2 linked regions of the Stegostoma tigrinum genome follow. The protein of the gene in region 1 purifies or fractionates together with the protein of each later gene. This does not show direct contact. Links are inferred from orthologs where the notes say so. Each region holds a gene or a part of one and is shown in the gene's direction. Other genes may lie near its edges.

What was found.
Region 2: the proteins of sclt1 (region 1) and kiz purify together in Homo sapiens (co-immunoprecipitation; 3 studies listed by BioGRID and IntAct, counting the BioPlex papers as one, with this or other methods). This does not show direct contact. The link is inferred for Stegostoma tigrinum from reciprocal best matches to the Homo sapiens genes SCLT1 and KIZ.

What each region holds. Positions count from the first base shown.
Region 1 is NC_081354.1:19,944,748-19,957,268, reverse strand, and holds the start of sclt1 (sodium channel and clathrin linker 1), read left to right. Parts: upstream 1-6,345; 5' UTR 6,346-6,475; exon of another isoform or gene 6,476-6,763; intron 6,764-12,521. UniProt on the Homo sapiens protein: Adapter protein that links SCN10A to clathrin. Regulates SCN10A channel activity, possibly by promoting channel internalization.
Region 2 is NC_081362.1:13,528,518-13,540,260, reverse strand, and holds the start of kiz (centrosomal protein kizuna), read left to right. Parts: upstream 1-5,921; 5' UTR 5,922-5,922; coding exon of another isoform or gene 5,923-5,959; coding exon 5,960-6,024; intron 6,025-11,743. UniProt on the Homo sapiens protein: Centrosomal protein required for establishing a robust mitotic centrosome architecture that can endure the forces that converge on the centrosomes during spindle formation. Required for stabilizing the expanded pericentriolar material around the centriole.

The sequences.
Region 1 (12,521 bases):
AGAAAGTGAAGCACAGTGAATAAGAAGAATTGGTGGCACGATGTTTGAATAGCTAAAGTGGAAATGACAGATATTTGTGTAAAGTTGGAAATTATGTCTACTATTGGATTTTAAATGACCATATAGATATCAGTACTGCATATCATTTTTCAAAGTGTTCACTTTAAGAATTCATCATGAATGTGAAGCTATTCTTCTCCTTTTATTAACCTAAATTACTGACGTTGTTGACTTACTCACGGAGCTGCCTTGTTTTCGCTCAGACGTTTCATCACTATGCTAGGTAATATCATCAGTGAGGCCTCCAATGAAAGGATGTTGTTCTACTCCAATTGGAATTTATACTGTCTGGCCCATTATGATGATTAGTGTAATTTTCAGTTTTGATCTGTATGGGTTTGTACATGGGGTACAATTCTATATGTTTGTTGACTGCATTACTGGTTAAGAACCATGCCTCTAGGAATTCCCGTGCATGTCTTTGTTTGACTTGGGCTACTATAGTTACGTTGTCCAAGCCAAACATAGACATGCACAGGAATTCCTAGAGGTTAGGAGCTGGCCGTCCAGGCAGAACCCAAACTGTTGGTCAGTAAGTTATTATTACTAAATCAGTGCTGCTTGAAAGCACTGCTGGTGACCCCATCCATAATTTACTGACGATCAAGATTAGCCTCAGGGACAGTAACTGGCGGTGTTGGATTTATCCTGTTTTTTGAGTAAAGGCCATTTCTGGGCATTCATCACCATGGCCCAGTAGATGCCGATGCTGGAGCTATGCTGAAACACTTTGCTAGGGGTGCAGCAAGTTCTGGATCACAACTCAGTATTATGAGGGAACCTTTTCGATGTCAAGTTTAGCTCAATCCACTGCACTCCCTCGAGTTAGAAGGCTGTGGATTCACACCACATACTAAGATTTGGGCACATAACCTCAGCAGATATTTCTGGAGTACTGTGGGACTTTCAACACATGATGCCTGAAATTAAATTCAATGTCTGATTTTTCTCCAGGTTTGAAAATTGGGGATATCATTAAACCAAATGCAAGGTCTTCCCAATGTCTCCCCAATTCACACTGGTGTCTGCTTCTAGCAGAAATCTCCACTGGGAACAGCCTGTTTTCCTACCCTTCACACCTTTATGTTGCTGGGACTCCAGAGATGCCAAACACAAAATTGGACAGCAGATCACTGATGGAGCTTCTTGTTCCTATGGGGTGGAAATCCTGCCTCCAGTCTATTTAAATGACCATTAATGACAGCAGGATAGCTGTTCATCCCTTTGGCCGGTTCGTCACTGGGCTTTTAGCCAGAGTTGGGGATTGCACATTGGGATCAAGATGTTCTCTTAAGCAATTATGTGATCTCCTTCTGCACTTCCATGAATTTTACTTTACATCATGGTTCCTTTCAATAATGAAGGGTGAACCCAACATAGAAAAAGAGATTGCTGCCTGATAAACTGAGGTCCATCTGTCTTCTCAGATGAAAGTAAGAGGTGACATATTACAAACCAAAAAGCAGTGGAGGTACGGCTTGTTCTCCCTGGTATCCTAGTCAACAAGTTTTTTCCAAATTAATGTTGCTAGTAAATAGATCATCTGGTCATTATCAGAATATCATTTCTGGCTCCTTGCACAAAAATTGGCTTTCACCTCTTGATTACAATATAGATTTCACATCAGAGGCATGTCATTGATTGCCCATTGGTTTTCTCATTAGGGTCTTTTTTGGAGGATGCATTTGTGGCTAATGCCACCTTGTGCCAATGCAACATGGAGCCAACTACGTGGAAATGCGCAATAGACACTTCTTTTGGTTCAATGTTCATTTATTATGGATTCACCCCATGAAGAATTTTGGATGTTTCCAGTGTTAAAGGTGGTACACAAAGACTTTGCTGTTTTCAGAATAGAACGACGTATTCCAGTCCTAACGGTAATACATCAAAAAAAATATGAAAAATAGGAAGGAACCTCAATCACATCAGATTGTGAATGAAGTCTGTGCTTTATGTGCATGGCAGTGCCTTCTGGTTTCTCATTGAGTCTCTTCTGTTTCTGATGGATAATCTGTAGCTAGACAGCTTGCCTTTTGCTCTATACTTAAATTAATGAATTGGATCATCTGAATTAAAAGCCTGCATGGTTAGAAAATAGGAGCTGATGTGACATAAAAAGTGTGGAGCTGGATGAACACAGCAGGCCAAGCAGCATCTTAGGAACACAAAAGCTGAGGTTTCAGGCCTAGACCCTTCATCAGAAAAGGGGGATGGAGAGAAGATTCTGAAATAAATAGGGAGAGAGGGGGAGGCTGACCGAAGATGGATAGAGAAGATAGGTGGGGAGGAGATTGTGGGCGTGGAGGTAGGGAGGGGATAGACCAGTCCGGGGAGGACGGACAGGTTAAGGGGGTGAGATGAGGTTAGAAGGTAAGAAATACAGATGCAGCTTGAGGTGGGAGGAGGGGATAGGTCAGAGGAAGAACAGGTTAGGGAGGCGGGATGAGCTGGGCTGGTTTTGGGATGCAGTGGGGGGGGGGGGGGGGGGGGGGGGGGGAGATTTTGAAGCTGGTGAAGTCCACTTTGATACCATTGGGCTGCAGGGTTCCCAAGCGGAATACGAGTTGCTGTTCCTGCAACCTACGGGTAGCATTATTATGGCACTGCAGGAGGCCCAGGATGGACATGTCATCTAAGGAATGGGAGACTGATGTGACATGATGCATGCAATTGCACATGCACAGATGGATCATGGTGACCATATTATATTGGGAATATATGCTCCATTTGGTCATGCACCTCTGCAGGATCACAGCAAAGCTCACTTACAATACATTAACCCTATCCATCTTCCGTATTTCAAATCAATTCAACCAAGTTAGCTAAATGCAAATTACTTTGAATAAATGTGTCTGGGAATTTTGTGGCATGGTGGTAGTGTCCCTAGCTCTGAGCCAGGAGGTCTAGATTCAAGTTCCACCTGCTCCCACAGGTGTGTGGTTTTCTTTAATTAATCCATCCTTGTTTAGGTGACTGTTAACCTTACAACAGATTATCATTTCTAACGGCTTCGTGCCACCAAGATTAAATTGGCCAGGCCTGCAGTTGCTCGTTTTATGTTTGCACAATTGTTTTAAATAAATGTATAATGTTTTCAATCTCCAGAGATTCTACTGGAATCAATTTCTTAGTAACTTGCTTTTGAGATCCCTAAACACGGCTGTGTTTTAATATGTGCTTTATGCCCAGCTCAACAAAAATTCAATATCACTGTTACCATTTTCTTTGATTGCTATAATCTTAACTTCCCTTGTGGGTAAAGACACAAGAGCAGCTGTTAAAGGACTAATAATTTAGAAATTATGTGAGAAGTAACAGCCCATATTACAACTGTAACAATGCTTATGATTGTGATGCATTCTTACAGTCACATATAACAGGATATATACATTTATTTATGTAACAGTACAATATTTATAGGAGTTTTGCAATAGTGATTGCTAAACTTTTTAATTACCTGTAAAAGGGAATCAAAGTCTTGTGAAAATCTTTCAGCAAACTATGTTTATATGTAAACACATAAGAAACTGGTCCATAAGGCTTCATACTACATTTGCAAAACCATGATAAATGGGATGGAGTTGAAGAAACATACACTTTAAAAATATTTATATACAGGAAACACCAATTTTGGATTATAGATTATAAAATATAATGAATTATGTTATAACACTTGCATGCATTGGAGAAACAAGTCATGACCAAACGTAACTTGGAATACTGCGTCCAGTTCTGGGCGCCCTATTATAGGAAAGATGTGGATGCTTTGGAGAGGGTTCAGAGGAGGTTTACCAGGATGCTGCCTGGACTGGAGGGCTTATCTTATGAAGAGAGGTTGACTGAGCTCGGTCTCTTTTCATTGGAGAAAAGGAGGAGAGGGGACCTAATTGAGGTATACAAGATAATGAGAGGCATAGATAGAGTTGATAGCCAGAGACTATTTCCCAGGGCAGAAATGGCTAGCACGAGGGGTCATAGTTTTAAGCTGGTTGGTGGAAAGTATAGAGGGGATGTCAGAGGCAGGTTCTTTACGCAGAGAGTTGTGAGAGCATGGAATGCGTTGCCAGCAGCAGTTGTGGAAGCAAGGTCATTGGGGTCATTTAAGAGACTGCTGGACATGTATATGGTCACAGAAATTTGAGGGTGCATACATGAGGATCAATGGTCGGCACAACATTGTGGGCTGAAGGGCCTGTTCTGTGCTGTACTGTTCTATGTTCTATGTTCTATAAAATAAATCAAAATCACTTGTTCCTAAAGTTTCAAACTATTGTAACCATTCCCCTGGGAAAATTTCACAACCCTGGTTCTTCACTCCTTACTCCTTCTCTATCTGGGTCTCTGTCCCCTTACATAGTATCCCAACAGGTTCCTATCTACATGCCGGCCATGGCTTCTATTTCAACTCCAAGTGATCCTGAGTGTTTATATCCACTCAGCATCTTTCCACACTCTTCAATGTTCCTTGCCCCTATTCCAACTACACCTAACTCCAGGCTTCAGCCCCTAATTTACACTCCATTAGAGTGAGCAGACATCCTGATTCACTGAGCACAATCCTGTTGTTCTATTCACTGCTCGGATGCCTTGGCAATTTCCTACAAATGGCTTAACCTTAGCAACCTTGTCAAAGAAAAACTGGAGCAGTGAGAGAAAATCTGTGTGAAATGTAATTTCTTTTCTCTAAGCACCAATTACATCACCACATGCAAACAGCAGACATGCATCTCTCTTCCTGACTCCAGCCTATCCTACGTTTGACATCTCCAAGGAAGTTGTTATTATCATTTTGGCACCAAGAGCTCCGTTGCTGGATACCCTTTTAAATGATTCTGAGAGATATCATTGCATGGCCTCAGTTTCAGCATCCCTTCCCCAGACGGCTGCCAGTCACCAAAAAATGTGCATCATCACAGTTAACAACGCCCCCCCCCCCCCCCCCCGCTCCCACACCAAGCAGATGCTCACCTGCATATCTGCTAATGTGGTAGATTGTATCCGCTGTTCCTGTTGTAGCCTCCTCTACATCGGGGAAACCAAGTGGGAGCTTGAGGATCGTTTTGCAGAACACTGCTACTCGGTTCGCAGTAAACAACTGCACCTCCCAGTCGTGAACCATTTCAACTCCCTCTCCCATTCCTGACAACACGTCCATCCTGGGCCTCCTGCAGTGCCACAATGATGCCACCCGAAGGTTGCAGGAACAGCAACTCATATTCTGCTTGGGAACCTTGCAGCCCAATGGTATTAATGTGGATTTCACAAGCTTCAAAATCTCCACTCCCCCACCGCATCCCAAAACCAGCCCAGCTCGTCCCCACCTCCCTAACCTGTTCTTCCTCTCACCTATCCCCTCCTCCCACATCAAACAGCACCCCCATTTCCTACCTACTAACCTCATCCCACCCCCTTGACCTGTCCATCCTCCCTGGACTGACCTATCTCGTCCGTACCTCCCCACCTACACTCACTTGCTCCATCCCTGCCTCTTTGACTTGTCTGCCTCCTCTATCACCTCTCCATCTTCGATCCGCCTCCCCCACTCTCGACTATTTCTCCCCCATTTCTGATGAAGGGTCTGGGCCCGAAATGTCAGCTTTCCTGCTCCTGAGATGCTGCTTGGCCTGCTGTGTTCATCCACCTCCACACCTCATTATCTCGGACTCTCCAGCATCTCCGGTTCCTATTATCTGTGATACAAAGCCCCTGCGATGCCTGTTTTTTGTGTCAGCCTAGGCTCCCTGATTGGACCAGCTTAACAGCCCCAATCAGGGAACTCACATTCTGAGGTCCACAGGGCTGACCTTATTGTGACCACTACAATCCCAGCTTCACTCTTGACCCAATCCCCCAACCGGGCCTCAATATCTTAAACTCTATTCCCATTCTCACCCCATTCTAGGCCATTTATCCCACCGTCTTTCCAGACACCCATTCCCTCTCCTATGCCCCAAGCCCCTATACCCACCTTCCTGTCTCTGGTGAAGTTTAAAGCAACGACTGCACTAATGTCAAACAAAAATCACAGGGCGTCAGCCTGATGTTAACCTCCTGGACGGGCCAAGAAGTTACTTCGCGCTCTGTTACAACTACTATTCAATGTGCTACCGATGTGCTTGTACAAACTTACCGAAGAATTAGATTCGTCTTGAAAGCTGCCTTCGATGTTCTGCAAATCGCTTCAGCCGCAATAAATAGCCGTGGGTTGGGGTGGGAGGGGTAAATAAACAAACACTGACAGGAAACAGTCTGGTCTCTCGAGGGAGGGAGTGGGGCCGCGAAATAAGATCCTCCCGCGGAACTCCAGTCGAGGTTATTTTTTTCCTCCCGGAAGGTTCAATTTGGTGACGACAGCGAGCTGTTCGGCGGTTTTTCAAAAAAGAAATCGACTCGAGTTGTTCGGCAGAAGAAGGTGTGTGTGTGAGGGAGGGTGCGCGGGCGGGCCCGGTGTAAAAGCGTCGGTTAAATAAAACGGTGGACAGCGGAGGATTGTGCGGTGATTGATTTTATGAAGGTGACGTCTCGTATTTAACTGCGGTCGGTGTCGGTTTGTTGTGGTGGGGAGGAGGAGGAGTACGTGGGCGGGGAGACCCACCAGAGCCTTTTGTCGTCAGGTCAGTGCCCGCTGGCCACGCCTCGTTTCCAAGGTGATCTGGGCCCGCCCCAAAAGCCGTCTCCCGGTGAACCAGGCCCCGCATCCTCCCCGTGGCCCGCCGCCCAAAGGGGTGGGAGACCCGCCCCCATCCCCGTCTCCCGGGAAACCAGGCTCAGCCCTCAGCCCCGTCTCCAAGGGATCGGAGCTCCGCCCTCAGCCCCGTCTCCAAGGGATCGGAGCCCCGCTCTTACCTAACTCTTCCTCCAGGGTTCCCTGATGTGGAGGTGCTGTTGTTGGACCGGGGTGGACAGGTTGAGAAATCATGCAACACCAGGTTATAGTCCAATAGGTTTATTTGAAAACACAAGCTGTCACAGCATCGCTCGTTCTTCAGATGTTAGTGAGGCAAGTGACGACAGATGCTGAATTCATAAGCAAAATGTCAAAGGATCGCAACCACAGATCAGGATGTGCTAAACACAACTGAGATGCTCTTAAATCTTTAATCAGTCAGAAGGTTTTAACTGATTAATAGTAATATGTAAATCCCTGAATTCCTTTCAAGTCTGTGCCCTGAGAGAACTAACGGTTTCATCAGTGTAAAGAAGAAGTGACGTTTCATGTCAGACATTGATTGTTAGGGGTGTGATAGCAAAAACTGCAGATACTGAAGTCAGAGATAATACAGTAGGGAGCTGGAGGAGCACAACAGGCCAGGCAGCATCAGAGGCTTAGATTCTGTTCATGTTTTGGTTCAGAGTCAGACTAGTTTTATTCCTACACCTAACGTGCATTGTCTGACCTAAAATGTCACTCTTGTCTACACTGCTGAAACCAATATTTCTTACAGGATAGTCACTTGAAAGAAATTCATTGATTTATGTATATATTAATCAATTAAAACATTCTAATTGATTAAATATTTAACAGTATCTTAGGTTTGTGGAGCACATCCTCATCAGTGATGTGACCCTTTGATCTTTTTCTTATAAGTTCTGTGTATGATATTACCTCTCTCACTAACACCTGAAGAAGGAGTAAGACTCTGAAAGCTTGTGTTTTCAAATAAACGTGTTGGACCATAATCTGTTCTCGTGTGATTTCTGACCTGGGGATCCCGGCCCGGCTTCTTCCCACTCCATCTCCAGGGAAACTTGGCCTTGACCCTTCCAGCCTCATCTCCAGGGGAACCCACCCACCTCCACTCTCCTGGTCTCCAGGGGAACCTTCTAAATGGATGGGGGTATCAGCCAGAACTGTAGCCATTAAGTTGTTTCTGTTTCCACAAATGCTGCCAGAGCAGCCAATTCAGTTTTTATCTCAGATTTTCAGCATCCGCATTTGTATAGTATTGTAGAATGGGGGTGTAAGTACATAATTCTGGAAGCCTGCGTCCCCTTGTAGACACAGAGGTTAAAAAGGCTTGTGGCACGCTAGCCTTCATTGCTCAGGCTTTTGGGTTTTGGAGTTGGGAAATCATGTTGAGGTTGTACTGAACTGTGCCCAGTTCTGGTTGCCCAGTTATAGGAGGGATATTATCAAGCTGCAAAGGGTTCCGAAGAGATTTGCTAGATTGTTACTGTATATGGAAGGCTTGAGTTATAAAGAAAGGCTGGATAGGAGGCTAAGAGGGGATCTTTAACAGAAGTTTAAAAAATAATGAGGGGTATGAATAGAGTTAATGGTATTTATCTTTTCTCAAGGATGGGGGGATTTCAAGTCTAGGGTGCATATTTTTAAGTTGAGAGGAGAAAGGTTTAAAAAACTGTACGGAGGGATATGGGCCAGGAGCAGCAGGTGGGACTAGTTTAGTTTGGGATTATATTCAGCATGGAATTCTTGGATGGAAAGGAATGTTTCCATGCTATGTGACTCTATGTAAGAAAGGACGTCTAGCTGCAATCTTTTATTGAAACTGCTTTTTGTTTTACAAAAGAGAATTGGGTTCTATTGTAGATACAGCAACAAATTGACTGTGGATGCTGGAAATCTGTAGATTACTGGGAGTTTTAGATCAGCGGTGATTCTCTTAAACGTTGCAACAGGCTCAAATGGCCTACCCCTGTTCCTATTTCCCATGGTGTGGATGAGTTGAACAAGCTGCCACTTGTTTGAAAGAAAAATGGAAGTATTTTAGCATATTAATTTTATAATAATAGCAAGAAGAGTAGCTACTTTTCAGCTCCAAGGGATTATTCTAAAAATGTTCCCCTGTCTTTGTACGTACAATGTTAATTAAGGTGTACTTTCAACATTTTTAAGATTGTTGTAATGTCATTTACAGATTCAACTTTTTCAATTAGGCAGCATTTCTTTATGCAGGGAAGGTCATGTCTCACCATCCTGATTGACTTTTTTGAGAAAGTGACAAACATGTTCGATGAGGGGAGGGCAGAAGATGTTGTCTACATAGCCTTAGGCCAGGCCTTTGAAGATGTCTCTCATGGCTGGTTGACAAAACAAAGTTGAAGTCATGTCGGATCTGTAATAACTGGTGAGATAGATACAGATGTAGCCTCAGTCGGAGATGACAAAATGGCAGCATAAGTGTGTTTTTCTGACTGGAGATCCGTGACCAGTGGTGTTCCGCAGGTATCAGTGCAGTGACCCCTGTTGTTTATAATATGATTTGGAGCAGAATATAGGTGGTTTGACTGGTAGGTTTACAGATGAAACAAAGATTGGGCAAACTGCTGATAATGAGTTGGATTTCCAGAGGTTAGAGAGAGAGACTGGAGAATTGGGTGGAAAAATTGGCAGATGGAGTTTAATCCGGACAAAGGCGAGGTGATGTACTTTGAACGAAAAAAGTAGGGAACTATAGCATTAACACACTGTGGGATCTGGGTATACAGGTTCATAATTCCCTGAAAGTGGCAACACAAGTGGATAAGGTGGTCAAGAAGGCATTTGGCATGCGTGTCTTCTTTGGTGGGAGTATAGAGTATAAAAATTGGCAAGTCATTTTGCAGCTGTACAGAATTTTAGATAAGTCACATTTGGAATGTTGTGTATAGTTCCATTTACCACAATGCCAGAATGATGTGGAGGCTTTGGAGAGAGTACAGAAACAGAGTACCGGGATGTTGCCTGGTTTGCAGGGTATTAGCTATGAGGAGAGATTGGACAAACTTTGTTTTCACTTTAATGTTGAAGAATGAGGGATGACCTAATAGAAGCTTACAAAGTAATATCAGTGATAATGGGAACTGCAGATGCTGGAGAATCCAAGATAACAAAGTGTGGAGCTGGATGAACACAGCAGGCCAAGCAGCATCTCAGGAGCACAAAAGCTGACGTTTCGGGCCTAGACCCTTCATCAGAGAGTTCTTACAAAATAATGACAGGCATGGATAGTCAGAATCTTTTTCCCAGGGTAGAAATGCCAAGTACTAGGGAATATAAGGTTAAGGTAAAAGGGGATAGGTTTTTAAAGGAGATATGAGAGGCAAGATTTTTACACAGAGGGTTGTAAGTGCCCGTAATGTGCTACGGTGATGGAGATGAATACATAGCGTTGTTTCAGAGGCAACTTGACAGATATATAACTAGGGAATAGGGGATTACAGACCGGGTAGAGGCAAAAGTTTTCTAGTTTAGAAAAGCATCATGTATTGGTGCAGCCTTGGTGCGCCAAAGGGCCTGTTCCTGTGCTGTGCTGTTCTTTGTTGTACTTGTGAAGCTGTGGAGATTTAAAGTGGGGTATCCGCATCTTAGGATAAGACATATTTTGAATGTAACAAGTTGTTAGATACCAGAATATTAGCTTGTGAAATTCAATTTTCAAATTATGTTGTGATCTGAAATTTGTTGAAAGATAGAATGCTGAAACAGATCAAGGCACTATTTTTGTCCCTATTTGCTTTTTCAATGCTAAGCGTTTTTAAAAATTATTAGCGTGCGCGTACATAGAGTGGGCCAAAATATTACATTTTAAAGTTGGTGCTTCTAACTATCCTACACCAATATTAATTTGGGATCACACTTAAGTAGGCTGATTGTCCAATTGCTTTGAAAATGTACATTGAGTAGTTGATAGTACAGCAAGCTGTTTACTAAAGGTAAACTCTCCATTGGCTTACCAGATTGTAGGGCTGTTCTCATAAGAGAGAGATAAGTATAAGTTCTTTAACCTGGGGGTCATTGTGATGTGAGGGAAGAGTTTGAGAATGAATGTCCTTCGTGGCAATCTCAGCAAGTATGGGAATTGAACGCACACTGTTGGCATCACTCTGCATTACAAACCAGCCATCTGCGCAACTGAGCAAACTGACCCCTTTTTTTGTGGGCATCATTGCAATAGATTTTTGATCCACAACAATTAAGTCTTGTGCCATTACATTTCAACAGAAAATATTCATGCATTGTCCAAGCAAAACTGTGTTGGAAATGTCCTGAACTGCACAATTCCATGATAATGAGCTGATTGGACGAAAACAAAATTTCCTTTTAACAGAATTTCTATTTTCCAATCCTGTGTATTTCCACCATGCAACATAAAATTAATCTTGCTTTAGTTCTGTCGGATGACTAACTAAAGGAAGGAGAGAGCCTGCATTTATGTAGTGCCTTTGACAACCTCAAGATGGGCATTAAAGTTAATGTTTCTTGACAATAGCCACTGATTTACTCCAGGATACACAACAGCCAATTTGCTGCCCAATTTGGATGTGGGAGCCCAGCACATCAGTGCAAAAGATAAGGCTGAATTATTTGCTGCTATCCTGCTGAGTCAATGATCCATCTTGGCCTCCTCCAGAGATCACCATTTTAGAGATACCAGTCTTCAGCCAATTTAATTCACTCCACGTGCTATCTAGAAATGGTTGGAAGTAATGGAAACAGCAAAGTCTGTGGCCCAGGCAACACCAACAGTACTAAAGACTTGTACTCCAGCAATTGCTGCATCCCTGGCCAAGCTGTTCTGTACAGTGACAACACTGACATCTACTCGACAAAGTTGAAAATTACTCAAGTATATCCTGTACACAAAAAGCAGGAAAATTCACCTGGCCAATTACTGCTTCACTGTCTACCCTCAATCATTCATAAAGTGATGGGAGGTATTATCAACATTGCCAACAAGCAGCACCTGGCCAGCAATAACTTGCTCACTAATGCCAGTTTGGGTTCCTGACTTTATTACAGCCTTGGTTCAGACATGGACAAAAGAGCTGAATTCCAGATGTGAGGTGAAAATGTCAGCCTTTGATATTAAGGTTGCATTTGACTGAATGTGGCTTCATGAAATCCTGGTAAAACTGGAGCCAATTAGACTCGGTGGGCTATGAGGAGTGATTGTCCTCGGCCTAACCATCTTTGGCTGATTCATCAATGACCTTCCCTTCTTCATTTTATCAGAAGTGGGAATGTTCACTGACAATTGTACAATATTCAGCGCTGTTCATGACTACGCGGATACTGAAGTAATCCATATCCAAATGCTGCAAGACCTGGATAATATTCAGGCTCCAGCTGACAAGTGGCACATAACATTCATACCCACATAAATGCCAGGCAATGACCATCTGTAATACGAACAATCTGCCCATTGCTCCTTGGCATTCAATGGTGTTACCATGACTGAATTCCCTACTATCAACACCCTGGGAGTTACCATTTGACCAAAATCTGAACTGGACTCACCATTTTGGGACTGGCTCTATTTAGAATACCTCGTTGGCAAGGACATATTGGACTAACAGGTCTGTTTCCATGCTGTATGACTCTAAATAAAGTGGTAAAAGAGCAGATAAGAGGCAAGGAGTCCTGCTATTAGTCACTTACCTCCCAACTCTTCAAAGCTTGTCCAGTATCTACAAGACACAAGTCAAGAGTGTGATGGAATATTCCATCCAACTAT
Region 2 (11,743 bases), on another chromosome or scaffold:
CATTCTGGGGTATTTAAATTGATATGGAGTTTGAGCGTTATTATTTATTCAGTTATTAATATTTGAACCGCCTAGAACATTTCCAGATATATTGAATGATGTATTTCTGTTACATTTAGGATGCCTGATGTTTGATTCACGCTGGATTTTGTTCTCCAGAGATGCACAACGTGATAAATGCAGCAATTTTCTCCAATGGGCAGCTTTGAAGAACATGGCAATTTCAAGCTGCTGGATGTTATTTAGTGTAATAAGAAATAAAACGATCCTATTTCTGAAATAACAGTGTCTATCATCAGTTGAACTACACTGAAAAGGTAATTGTTTCCTGATGATAGATCCATTACAGCCGATCCTGGCCTAAAATCATCCAATGCACCGTGAAAATGAAGGACGAAATCGGTGTTTGCACCTTAATCACCAGAGTAAGTTTGTGCCTAGACCAATAGCTGTTTTCCGCACTCAATCGAGCCAGCCTCTGGCCCTAGTCATTGAATTCTCAGTTGCAAAGGCTACATCACCTCATTTTAGATAGTTTTAGTTCCTCCCTACCAACAATTACAATCAGAGGGAAACAGTTGAATTCAGCACTCGGGGACATTGTAATTACCTGTTTTAAGAGGACTTAAAATTGTAGCTAAATTGTGTGTGTGATTTATAAAAATCATTTTCGATGTCGTTTCTCTTTCTATGAAATATTTCTGAGTGTTAATATTGGCGTACGACGATGAAAAATGCGACAATGCGTTCAATAGTTTTAAAACAATGCATTTACGCAAGGCAGAACATCACAGGTTCAAAGTATGTTAGTCTTATTATTATTTTGACTTGCTGCTGAAGATCGATTATACATAACAGTGTTGGTCGCGGGTCCATGGGAAATATCGTCAACAGTCCCACATGGGGACACACAACTTGTTTACAGTACTGTTAGTCACTGGTTTGTTATACCTGTCGATCCGGAATAATCCATCATCACTAGACGATGTAGATTATAATGTGTTAATGATTAACATCGTTCCAATGTAAGCATCATTATATGCGTGAAAAGAAATGCGAAGGTTTCTGAAATAACCAATTAGTATGTTTTCATTTAGTTATTATCGCTCATGCTCACAACCTAATTGTACAAAGACGAGTGGAAGCAATATTCCACCACTGGCATTTCTATTCTGATGGGAAGTTAAACATTTATCGGGGAAAAATACATCCAGTCAAAAAAATAATGTAATAGACAAGGGACGTTTAGAAAGCGAAGCGGCGTCGTGGTATAGTTTTCAAAAGTGCTCATTTATTAGGAGTTTACAAAAGGGAATCTAATGCAGGAAAGGCCAAAGGCACTCAGACAGTGGCTGTACCATACAATGTATCCTATTAACTCAGGTTGTAACTCTTAAAAGATGGTGGCAGCCGATGATTCCGTGTAAGCGCCGTTTTAGCTCTGACATTATTTATAGAGCTGACTAATAGCGCTAACAGTGGAAACCAGGGCTAATTAAGCATCCTCTCGGATGCTCGCACCATTTGACCTGTGTTGCTATCGCTGTCCTGGAGTGTAAATGGGAAAAGAGAGGACGGGGGTTAACTAACTGAACCGATCTACATAAGAAGCTTTGTTTATAGTTTATTAAACATACAGCTTGAATAGACTAATCACCTGCATGTTACATATGTTTGACTACCAATCTGTCATTATGAACAACGCTTTCACTTTTATGTTTTGGGAGATTCAGAACGCTACAAGAGTTCTAACGCGAAAAACCCATTCCTCAGTTTGGCAGCTGTTACAGCGGAAACAGTGAGAAAGTAGCAAATGTTATGAAGCAAAAGTATTCAAAAATATTACTATGTGTTTAAGATACTATATATTAATAATTAAGAATGGTAAGAGCATTACGCAATATTGAATATTAGTTGAAATATTATTTTACGAGATGGATTTTTAATATTATTCGGGAGTACTTTGGAGGAAATACAGCCTCGTGTCTACATGAGCGAAAGCTATTTTAATGAGTTTCAACGAGTTTACACAGATTATAGTGATTGACGAGATTATGTGGCAGATCCCAACATCACACTCAACTTTTTATTATGTTGTCGACTTGCGACACAACATGAACAAAGTAAATTTGAATGCACAACGCGGATATTATTTATTTCTTTAATGTATTATGAACAACTGTTGATATGTATCATGATTATACTTGTATATCACGTTTCTACAATTTTAAGGGCCTATACTAAATGTTCCACATCAACGTTTTGTCCAACTAATTACAGTTACATTTATTGTCGATTCGTCTTTGTGAGGTTGTTGATCACGATCTTTTATTTTGTTGCGAAGATCTGCCTGGAGTAAAGTGAAACAGATGCTCCTGTGTTTGTCAGCTGTTACTGTTTGTAAAAGGTCAAAGTAGGAGGCAGAGAAGGACCAGGCAACGAAGCAATTAAGAAGAGAAGGCAGAATGTTGCAGACTGGCTCCAAATGTATACAAGAGAGATGGGGGAGTCGGGGGGGGGGGGGGGGGTGGTGAGGTATAGAAGTAGCTCTGCGGTTAAAAAAAAATCAAAGGAACTTTATACTCTACATTAACATAGTTATTTATTCATTGAATTTTTGTTTCTATCTATATCCAGCACACATAAGATATTCACTTAAGAAGGGGTCATTATTCCAAGGGAACTGAACAATAAGATATTCTTTTCTTTAGTCAAATAGATTCAGTTTATCTTGATTCGGTTATCTAATTTGTTGCCTAATCGTGACATAATTACTGAAGTTATATAATTGCATGAATGTATAAACTCCTTTTTAACTTTACACAGATGGTATCTTGTGAATAGACGCAAAAGTTGATTTTTAAACGATATGTTTAGGCTTTAATAGGTGCCAAATCTCATTGTCTCAAGAAGTATTGCAGAGTTTCGGAAATAGGCACAAACGATCCGAATCTCTTTACGGGGAATCCTAATGACGTTAACAGACCTATTTACCAATTAGATCCTAGGAACGTTGTGCTTTAGTCTTTGATAGGAAACAGTTTCTTGCATTTCGTGAACAATTTCTGTTCATTTAAGAAACAGAGTAATCTAACAGCCCGCAACGCACCACATACATGATCACATCGGAGGGTTAAATACGTGTATTTCAATATTGCACTCACCCTACCGAGTTGTAATTCTAGACCCAAATAAATATTGTTGTGTCATTTACATATACAGGCTCAGATATTTTCATTGCTTGGGGGATGATCAGATATTGGGAACACTTTTCATGAAACGAAAGTTAGCAGAAATGTCTAATCAGCTTCTATGTAAGTAACATATATAAGGTTCAGTGATTTCATTGAAATGTTACGGCTGTCATTATTGATGCAGGTCCAAACGTGCATAACATAAAATAGAATATAAGTACAAAGTGCAGGACGTGATTTGCCGACCCTCTACATATTGGCATAAGTTGTGCAGTATTTTGCAATATAATGAAGATATGCTGCATTGAGGAGTTCAGATGTGAATCTTCTGATATTTGTTTGCTCTTGACAAAGTTTGCCTCAGCGGCAATCTGTCATAACCCCATGACTACATGCTACTGACTTTTACGTTGTCTATCAATTTAATATGTCCTCTAGTAAAATAATACTGCTCAGTTACACCAATATCATCCAGGCATCCTTTTCTGAACTGAGTGGTTAGCTACCTTTTGTAGTTTAAAAGCACGCCTTTTTGTTTTTGAGCTGTAGCTCCCAATAACAGCGAACATCCTACAATTTTCTAATTATTTACAATTACTGCAGTGACACAAATCCACCTGCTAAACGTATATTACAATTTAACCATTTGGGTAATTATCTCTTTTACAGCAGTGAATAAATTTTCCGGGTTAGGCTGAAATAATAACTACATCCTGTAACTTATCATTGTAGTCGCGCACAGAGAGAATTGGACCAGACGGGTTTGAAACAAATGGTCCGCTATTGGAAGCAAAACTAGATATTAAAATGTTATGCATTTTCTTATTTGTGTTTTTGCTATATTTATGATTGGATGTTTGCTATTTCCAACATTTATAAAGATTTGTGATCAGGAAATGAAAACAAATTTAAAATATCTTACAAGGTGCTCACATTGAAATAACAACAGGAATAGATATATATTCATCAAAATATAATACTGGATTTAGTGCAAAGTCTGCTCAGAGTGTATTTATGCATAGTATTTGTTGAAAATGCTCAAAACCAAAAAGAAGAACATTACTCAATGATCAGGGAATTAACCTTTAGGAATCTATATACAATGAACTGATATACAAAGAACCTTAAAACATAAAACAGTACTTGGTGTGAAATTAAATCTCTGATGATTATTTTGTATAACCTAAATGATACCTCCAAGCTTGACATTTTTACTTCTGTGAGAGCATTAATCCAAGTGAAGGATTTTGTCCTCTTTCGATCTCACTCAGAAATGTCAAAAGATAATTACGCAAGAAATGGAAGATGTGACACCAAGATGCAATGGAGAATGTAAGACCTTCATATTTCAGATGCCCAGGTGGAAAATGTAACATATCCTGCTGGGCAAAAAGAGTGGTGGGCAGTTAAACAGAATGGATCAAATTCCCACTCTGTACTCATTTTAAAGTGCCAATTTGTCAAGTGTATTCATACAAATCAGAGTACTATTATTTCAATGGGGCTCTGTCATCATGTTAACTAAGAAACCTGCAGAATGCCCATAGTGAATCCCTTCATAATAAGAATATGGTCTATAAGACAAAGAGGCATTTCCAACCTTAAAATTTGTCTTTATGGGGCCAGAAGGAAAAGGGGTACTGGAAGCTCAACTGCGCCCTCACCTATATCTTAGTGAGGAGTCTCTGGAACACCCAAACACTTCATTTTAAGTGGGTGAGAACTCACAGTGAAATGTTACCATGAAGTGACTTTGGACTTTGAACCTCAACCAGGATGGGCATTGGTGGGACTCTTAACCATGGGGTGGCAGCTGATTAATCCAAATAATGACCACTTAAGGCCACTTAAAAAGACCAGATGGGATTTTCCAGTCAACAAGCTAGTTTCACTGTATGGAGGTAACCTCTGCTTGGTTCAGAGGGTCGTCTTCTGTTTGGGCACAGCAGCGGGTACCAATTGCACTTTAGAGTGATTCCAACTCATTGCACATCACCTTCCCCAAGTTTGTAAAGACAATTACTTATTTTGTGTCTTCAAAGAAGTGTAGAAGGGGCAGGTCCAAATTGAAGTAGGCACTCCCTCATATATCTGTAATGGTATTCTGTTGCTGCCTGCAATTCTGAAGGCCTTTATTGGCCTTTCAATTTTGAGATAGTATCTGGAATCCTTAACGAAATGCTGAGCACGTCCTCTGGCTATTCAACAGCAAATCGTATTGATTGACGGTTTATCACACAGTGAAGGCATTTGAACTCCTTCTCCCCCTTTGGCTCCAGAGTGCAGAAGAAACTCTGGGTCAATCTTGCCCATGGCTGTTAAAATTGACAGGACATTCTACTGTGGCTGTCGGACCAATTGCATGCGAAGCCACTCTTGAGGAGAAGATAAAATTTTCATTTCAGAGTTTCTTACATGGATATTCAGATTAGGGTGAACATAGACAGATGTCGAGTAGGGCTCTTGCCACCCTGCCGCAGCATCCTCTATTGTATCAGTATGCCATTTATTTGATATACCACTCCATTGTTGGCTGTCCGCCTCAAGTCTCTTAACTATTGATTCAAGGGTCTACCGGACTAATTTCAGATTATTCGGCTGTCCGGTTCAGTTGAATGTATTTGGGCGGGGAGTGATTGATGAGAACGGTGGAAGGTACCGGCAGCTTTGCCACTGCTATGAGCCTTTTGGGGAGGGGGGTCGGAATTCGGGCCTGGGTGCAGTTGCTATGGCAACGCAGCAAACCGGCGCCGGCCGTGTCGGACATGGCGGCCAGCGATCCGGCCTTCCTGGCGAGATTAGGCGAACTGCAGCGGCAACTGCACGGCAGGTGAGCTCTGAGTCTTCTTTTTCGCCCAACCCTTTCGGACCCCGCACGGTTACGGGGTTGTCTCGGAAGAACGGAAAGCCCGTTTCCCCTTCCTGGCAGCGGCCTCCTGCCCGCAGGCCTTGCGTGAAGCCTCGGACTCGAGTTGGAGGCTAACCTGCGCTCGTGTTAAGTAGTCGCCCGTCGGGGTTTTCCAGCCATTCGCAGTTGCACCGTTTAGTTTGGCATGGATCAGAAACTCATCTGTACTTGAAGAGCTCTGGCTCGTTCTTCAAAACGAGACACAACCAGATGCAGGTTCCATCTTTGACTAAGAGGGACAGTGAAAATTGTACCAACATTGTGACATCTCGAATGCTCCAATGGTTTTTAAAATTCAGGGCAGTACTTTTAAATGTATAGTCGTGCTTGTAATCAAATAAACGGGGCGGTCTCGTGATGCTGGTGCCTTTAAAAATCACAGTCTGACTTTTCAAATTTTCTGTTGAGAACTCTTCCGTCCTACTTCAAGAAGTGCTATGAAACTTTTGCATCCATGTGGCGTCGAAATTATTGAGACCTGACTCGTCCGTCTTCCATCTGTGCGATTGAGAATTTCCTAAATTCCATAACTCAGAATCCTGCAATCCTTCAGCTCTGAGCTTCTTTTGCACACTGTTACACCTTTTTTATAAACTGTATATGTCCTGCCTTCAGTTATTTGAGCACTAAACTCTGAAATAACCTCCCTAAATCTCTCTGCCTTTTCAGTTCCTTAACATCTACGTCTTTGATTAAGTGTTTAGTCTTGTGTCCTAATATTTCTCTCTTTAGATTGTTGCTACGTTTTGTCTGGTTACACTCCTGTGAAGTGCCTTGGAACATTTTCCATGTGACTCCGTTGCGTGGCTTTAAAGTTGTCAGGATCCCGCAGTGAGAACTGACAAGGCTGTGCCGGTTAGAAGGGCCTGTTTTAACTTGGTGAGAGCATTATGGCAGGCTTTGAAGCTTATGACTCCAAAAGTATCAGCTCCCACTGGAGGTCCCAATCCCCACTTTGGAAAGCCTTATCCTTTACTAAAGAAACTACTGATTATTAATAGAAATTCCAGTGACATTGATATATACTTAACATTCCTGAAGGTGTGGACAGTAATGGCAAGGCCAGCATTTATTATTCATCCAAAATTTTCCTTGGAATGATGGTGGCTAGCCACCTCCTTGGATCATTGCGGTCATTATTGTGCAGGTGCTCCCATTGTACTGTTAGGGAAGGAGTTCCAGAATTGTGACCCTTGGAGGTGACTTTACAGGTGGTGATATTCCTGTACACTTGTAGCCGTTGTTCTTCTAACTGTTGATGGTTGTAGTTTGGAAGATGTTGAAGGAGTATTGTATGTCACTGCAGTGCATCTAGTAAGAGGATGTTTGAATTAGAATGCTAAATTTATTAGAAATCTGTAGTTTATTAAATGATTATAGTGGAGAGTGTTGTAAAATATATATCAAACAGATTGAGTCATACTTCAGTCAAACTTTAACGACATTGCTAATTTTCACACTACCTGTTTTCTTTGATTTTACCAATGCTTTCACCAGTATGGGATAGCCATCTTTTGAAGCTTAGAAAAGTGAAAAATGTTTTATCCAATTGAGAATGGCAAGTGTTTAATTCCTTCCGTGAGTGTTCTGGATCTTTTTCGAATACAGCTTCAGTCCTGGGAAGGTGATGCTGAAAATGATGATTATCCAGTAGTTGTGCCATTTATTTTCAGGGTGCTAGCTAGTGATAGCTCAAGCAGCGCATATTCGCAATCCCTGGTGCTTATTTATTCTAAATGTGCCTTAACATTAAATGCACTGGTATGCCAGTGTAACCACCAACATGATTTACTGAATAAATTTGTGGAAAAATTCCAGATGTCATTTTTGCATTTGAAAGGTGATTAGTTTTCAAAATAATGATCCAGTAACTAAAATATCACACAAAGTAGTAGTATGCCTAAGTACATTCTCACTGTAATTACAACAAAAATAATGGTTGCAATTTGTGCCTAGTTAGATTTTTAAGGTAATCTTTGACATTCCAGTTTTCACAATGTTTTCTCAAGTGCAGTAAACAAATAAAAAGTGTTGGAGAAATTCAGCAGGTCGGGTAAAATCTAGGAAAAGCAAAACAGCTAATGTTTTGAGACCAAATTATTCTTCTTTGGCGCTGTGGTATTTTGCTTTTTTGTTAGGCAGGTTTTACATGATAAAGTACTTCTTAAAAATTTGCAAATAGATGACACAGAATACAAAAGTTGGTAATTTTTTTTACTTGGATACTTCTCACAAGATCAACATTTTAAAAATATTTTCTAACGCTCAGAGCTTGGACCCCAGAAAGAAGGATTGGGGGCAAAGTAATGTAAATAATATGAAAGAAGATCAAAAGTTGCTGCACGTACTGGGTTCAGAAAGCATCTGTGGTGAGAATAACGCAGTTAACATTTAAGATCAATGATCTTTTGCCAAAACTCTTTGATGAAAAGGTGGAGACCTGAAGCTTTAAATCTGTTTTTCTTTCAACTGGTGCTACATGACCTGCTGAGTATTTACAGCATTTTTGGGTTTTCAATTCATAAAAAAACTTGTTCATCATTGACAGTTGACTTATATAGCATTTTTGCACAATTTCAATAATTTGGTCTTCACTCCTATCTCCCTTTCAAGGAAAACTCACTTCTCCATCATATTGTGACATGCAGAAAACAGTTTATACCTTAAAAATAAAAAAAAGTGCTTTTCCCCTGGTGGTTTCATATCACATCACATCGACATTCTCCAAAAATAATGTCCTTGAACAGTACGTGACGCCAGAAAATACCACTTTAATTACATCTTAAGCCCAACATCCCATTATAACAAGTTATAACTTTGGAGCTCAAATATCTTTATATTGATCTGCTTTAATTTCGTCGAATTCCACTTAACCAATTTTTTGGCAGTCCTATCTCAGCACCATTGTCTACTGATAGCACTTCTGGATAAATGCTGCTGCCACTGTCTTCAGAACTATAATTCATCCAAGAAATGATGCTTCTTCCTCTTTAAGAGCAATATTTATAACCACTGCAGCAGCCCATCTAAGAAAACACAATCTTGTTACTCTGATGGGACAGCAAAAGAGCAGTAGCAGAGTGGATCTTTACAATCCTAATTTCTTAAGTCAGTTGTAAAAAATAAATGAAGGAGCAGAAGTATGTATATTAATTTAATATATTTGGATTTACATACTTTACTTTCTTGCTTGCAGGAATCAAAAAATGTTTTTTTTCTTGAAATGGGCCACAGTTGTTTTTTGTTCATTTGGGATCCCAGCAGTTAGCATTACAGACAAATGGAGAAGGTAGTATGTGAAGTTTCACTGTTAACAGGCAGTGTTGAAGCTGTTCTAGTATTGGTGTGAAAAACCACGAAATAAAAGGAACAGTATTAAATATGATTCAATTAATTGTTTTTGCCAGTTTGATTCTGGGGGATTAGGTCACTTCATACTTGGTTAAGGATTAATTGTTCTTATGAGGCATAATGCCAATGAGTACGTTAATTTTGAAAGAGAGCCTCTGCTGCTTCATTGGACATACGTACAGTATATTTAGTGAACTATAGAGGTGAGGGTAGTCTGATGTTGATCCTTAGTCAATGCTAAATTGCACCATTTCAGTTTAATTGACAGCAAGGGCATTGTGAATGGTTTTGTTCTAAAATTGGAGAAATTAACAAGGTTTCTTGCTGTTGACCACATTCTAGTGCTCTTGAAAGTGCACTGTGGACATCAACTGAGGATAGTGTAACATGTGGATGTGATTGGTCTCCCACCCGATATTTCATTGGTCCCTCCCACACATGAACAGTGACATCTTGTACCAGATATTGATGGTAGAAGTGCAGTTGGATCTTGCAATGGGTTTGCAATCTTCAGGAAAAAAGGACTAAGGGTAACTTCCAATTCAGGCTCTAATTTAAGTAAGTTTTAATATAATCTTTACCTCTCCAATCTCTTATTTTTGTTCACTTGTTCATGTGGAATTTTCCTGTTCTGATAATCTGTATCTCCTTTCAAGTTTAAGTTGAGACATGCAAGTTTCAGTTCCAACTCTAGCATTTGATTAAACAAGTAAAAAACTGTAAAAGTAAACTTGTATTGAAGTAAAGATTTCAGTTCAATAAATTTTAAGGTATGTCTCAGCAGCATTAGTATGTAATTACATTGTTATGACAGGAGGAAATTAAACACACAGTTAAAATAGTTGGCAAAATATGTTTTTTTGGCATGAAACTATATCTCACTTCAATTAAAATGTAGTTAACTAATTTTCACTGCAGCAGCAAGGAGCCAATTACAAGGTTTTCTTGAGTGAAAGAAAAAGATATTTTATTATCTGCTACTCTGAGAAAAATAATGAAGACAAGACTTCAAGCATATACACACGAGGTATAAAGCTAAAAAGGTATAGCTTCCAATATAAAAGGAAGATGAAAGAAAGTCCTTTGTGTGCTGAGGTGTAAGATTTTAATCATTACTTTTAGATCATTAGTAGAAGTGAACATATTCGTTATCCTTTGAATTCTTGGTGTTCTGATGTTTCTTCTTAACCTTTATTATTATTGGTTTTCTTATTGAAAGAGAGAACTTTTTCAGCTAATTTTGTTTTGTGGTCAAAAATCCATCTCTTGCGTTCTTTCTGCCAAAAGCAGCTGCATGAAATACAAGATAACAAAGTATGAGGCTGGATGAACACAGCAGGCCAAGCAGCATCTTAGGAGCACTTGTTTGTGTATTTAAATGTCTGAATTCATTGTCTTCAAGTTTGATGATTGCAAGTATTGCTTTTATCTCTGACGTGCAAACATTCTTATCAAGGTGTAAAATAAAATTTAGAGAGGACGGTCTTTTCATGTTTCCTTGGGGAGGGTGTTTAATAGCTTCCTTGGATAAAAAAGTTAGTTTCAGTTTATCTGCCTGTCGTCTACTTGAACTTGAAAAAAGACCACATGGTGGAGTTAGGCCTGAGACCATTTTAAGTTAGTGTTTTTGATTCCCTTCTAAAAACTAATTTCAGTCCATGAAAGCCACAGGCATTCAAAAATCAGTAGTCTATATTTAATACCATCATGACAGCACAGATAACATTTCAGTATTGTACTTATTCAGTTTTGTTGCATGTGGCTGTTAAGACATTAAAATTAGGTCACCCCTATCTTTTCATGTTAAAGCTAAAAATCATTTTACATTATTGAAGAATAACATTGGGTCTTGCATGGCTATGTATCCTGAACAATATTCTTTGCTGAAAAAGGGCAACCAAGTTGACGAAGTGGCTATCACCTTACAGAAACTAGTAAATTACTGCTTTTTGGGAATGGAATGCCTCCTGTATTTGCCTACAGTGGAACATTGAGTACACTTCAATATAATTTATTTAAATGTAATATAATTAAAGTACTTTGGAAAACTTGGGAGGAATTATGAGATTTTATAAAAATTTTTAATCTAAATGTAAACCTCTACCTTCACATAGTTAACATACAAATTTTTATGTGATTCTGGAAAAGAGTTCAATGTTAAACATTTACAATTGCAGCTAAATCACTTTTTGATTTGGGACAGCTTTTATTAAAATTATATTATTGTGTGTAAATCACAAGTAGGCTGTTAAGACTGTAGTAGAGCATGTATACAATGAAGATTTAGATG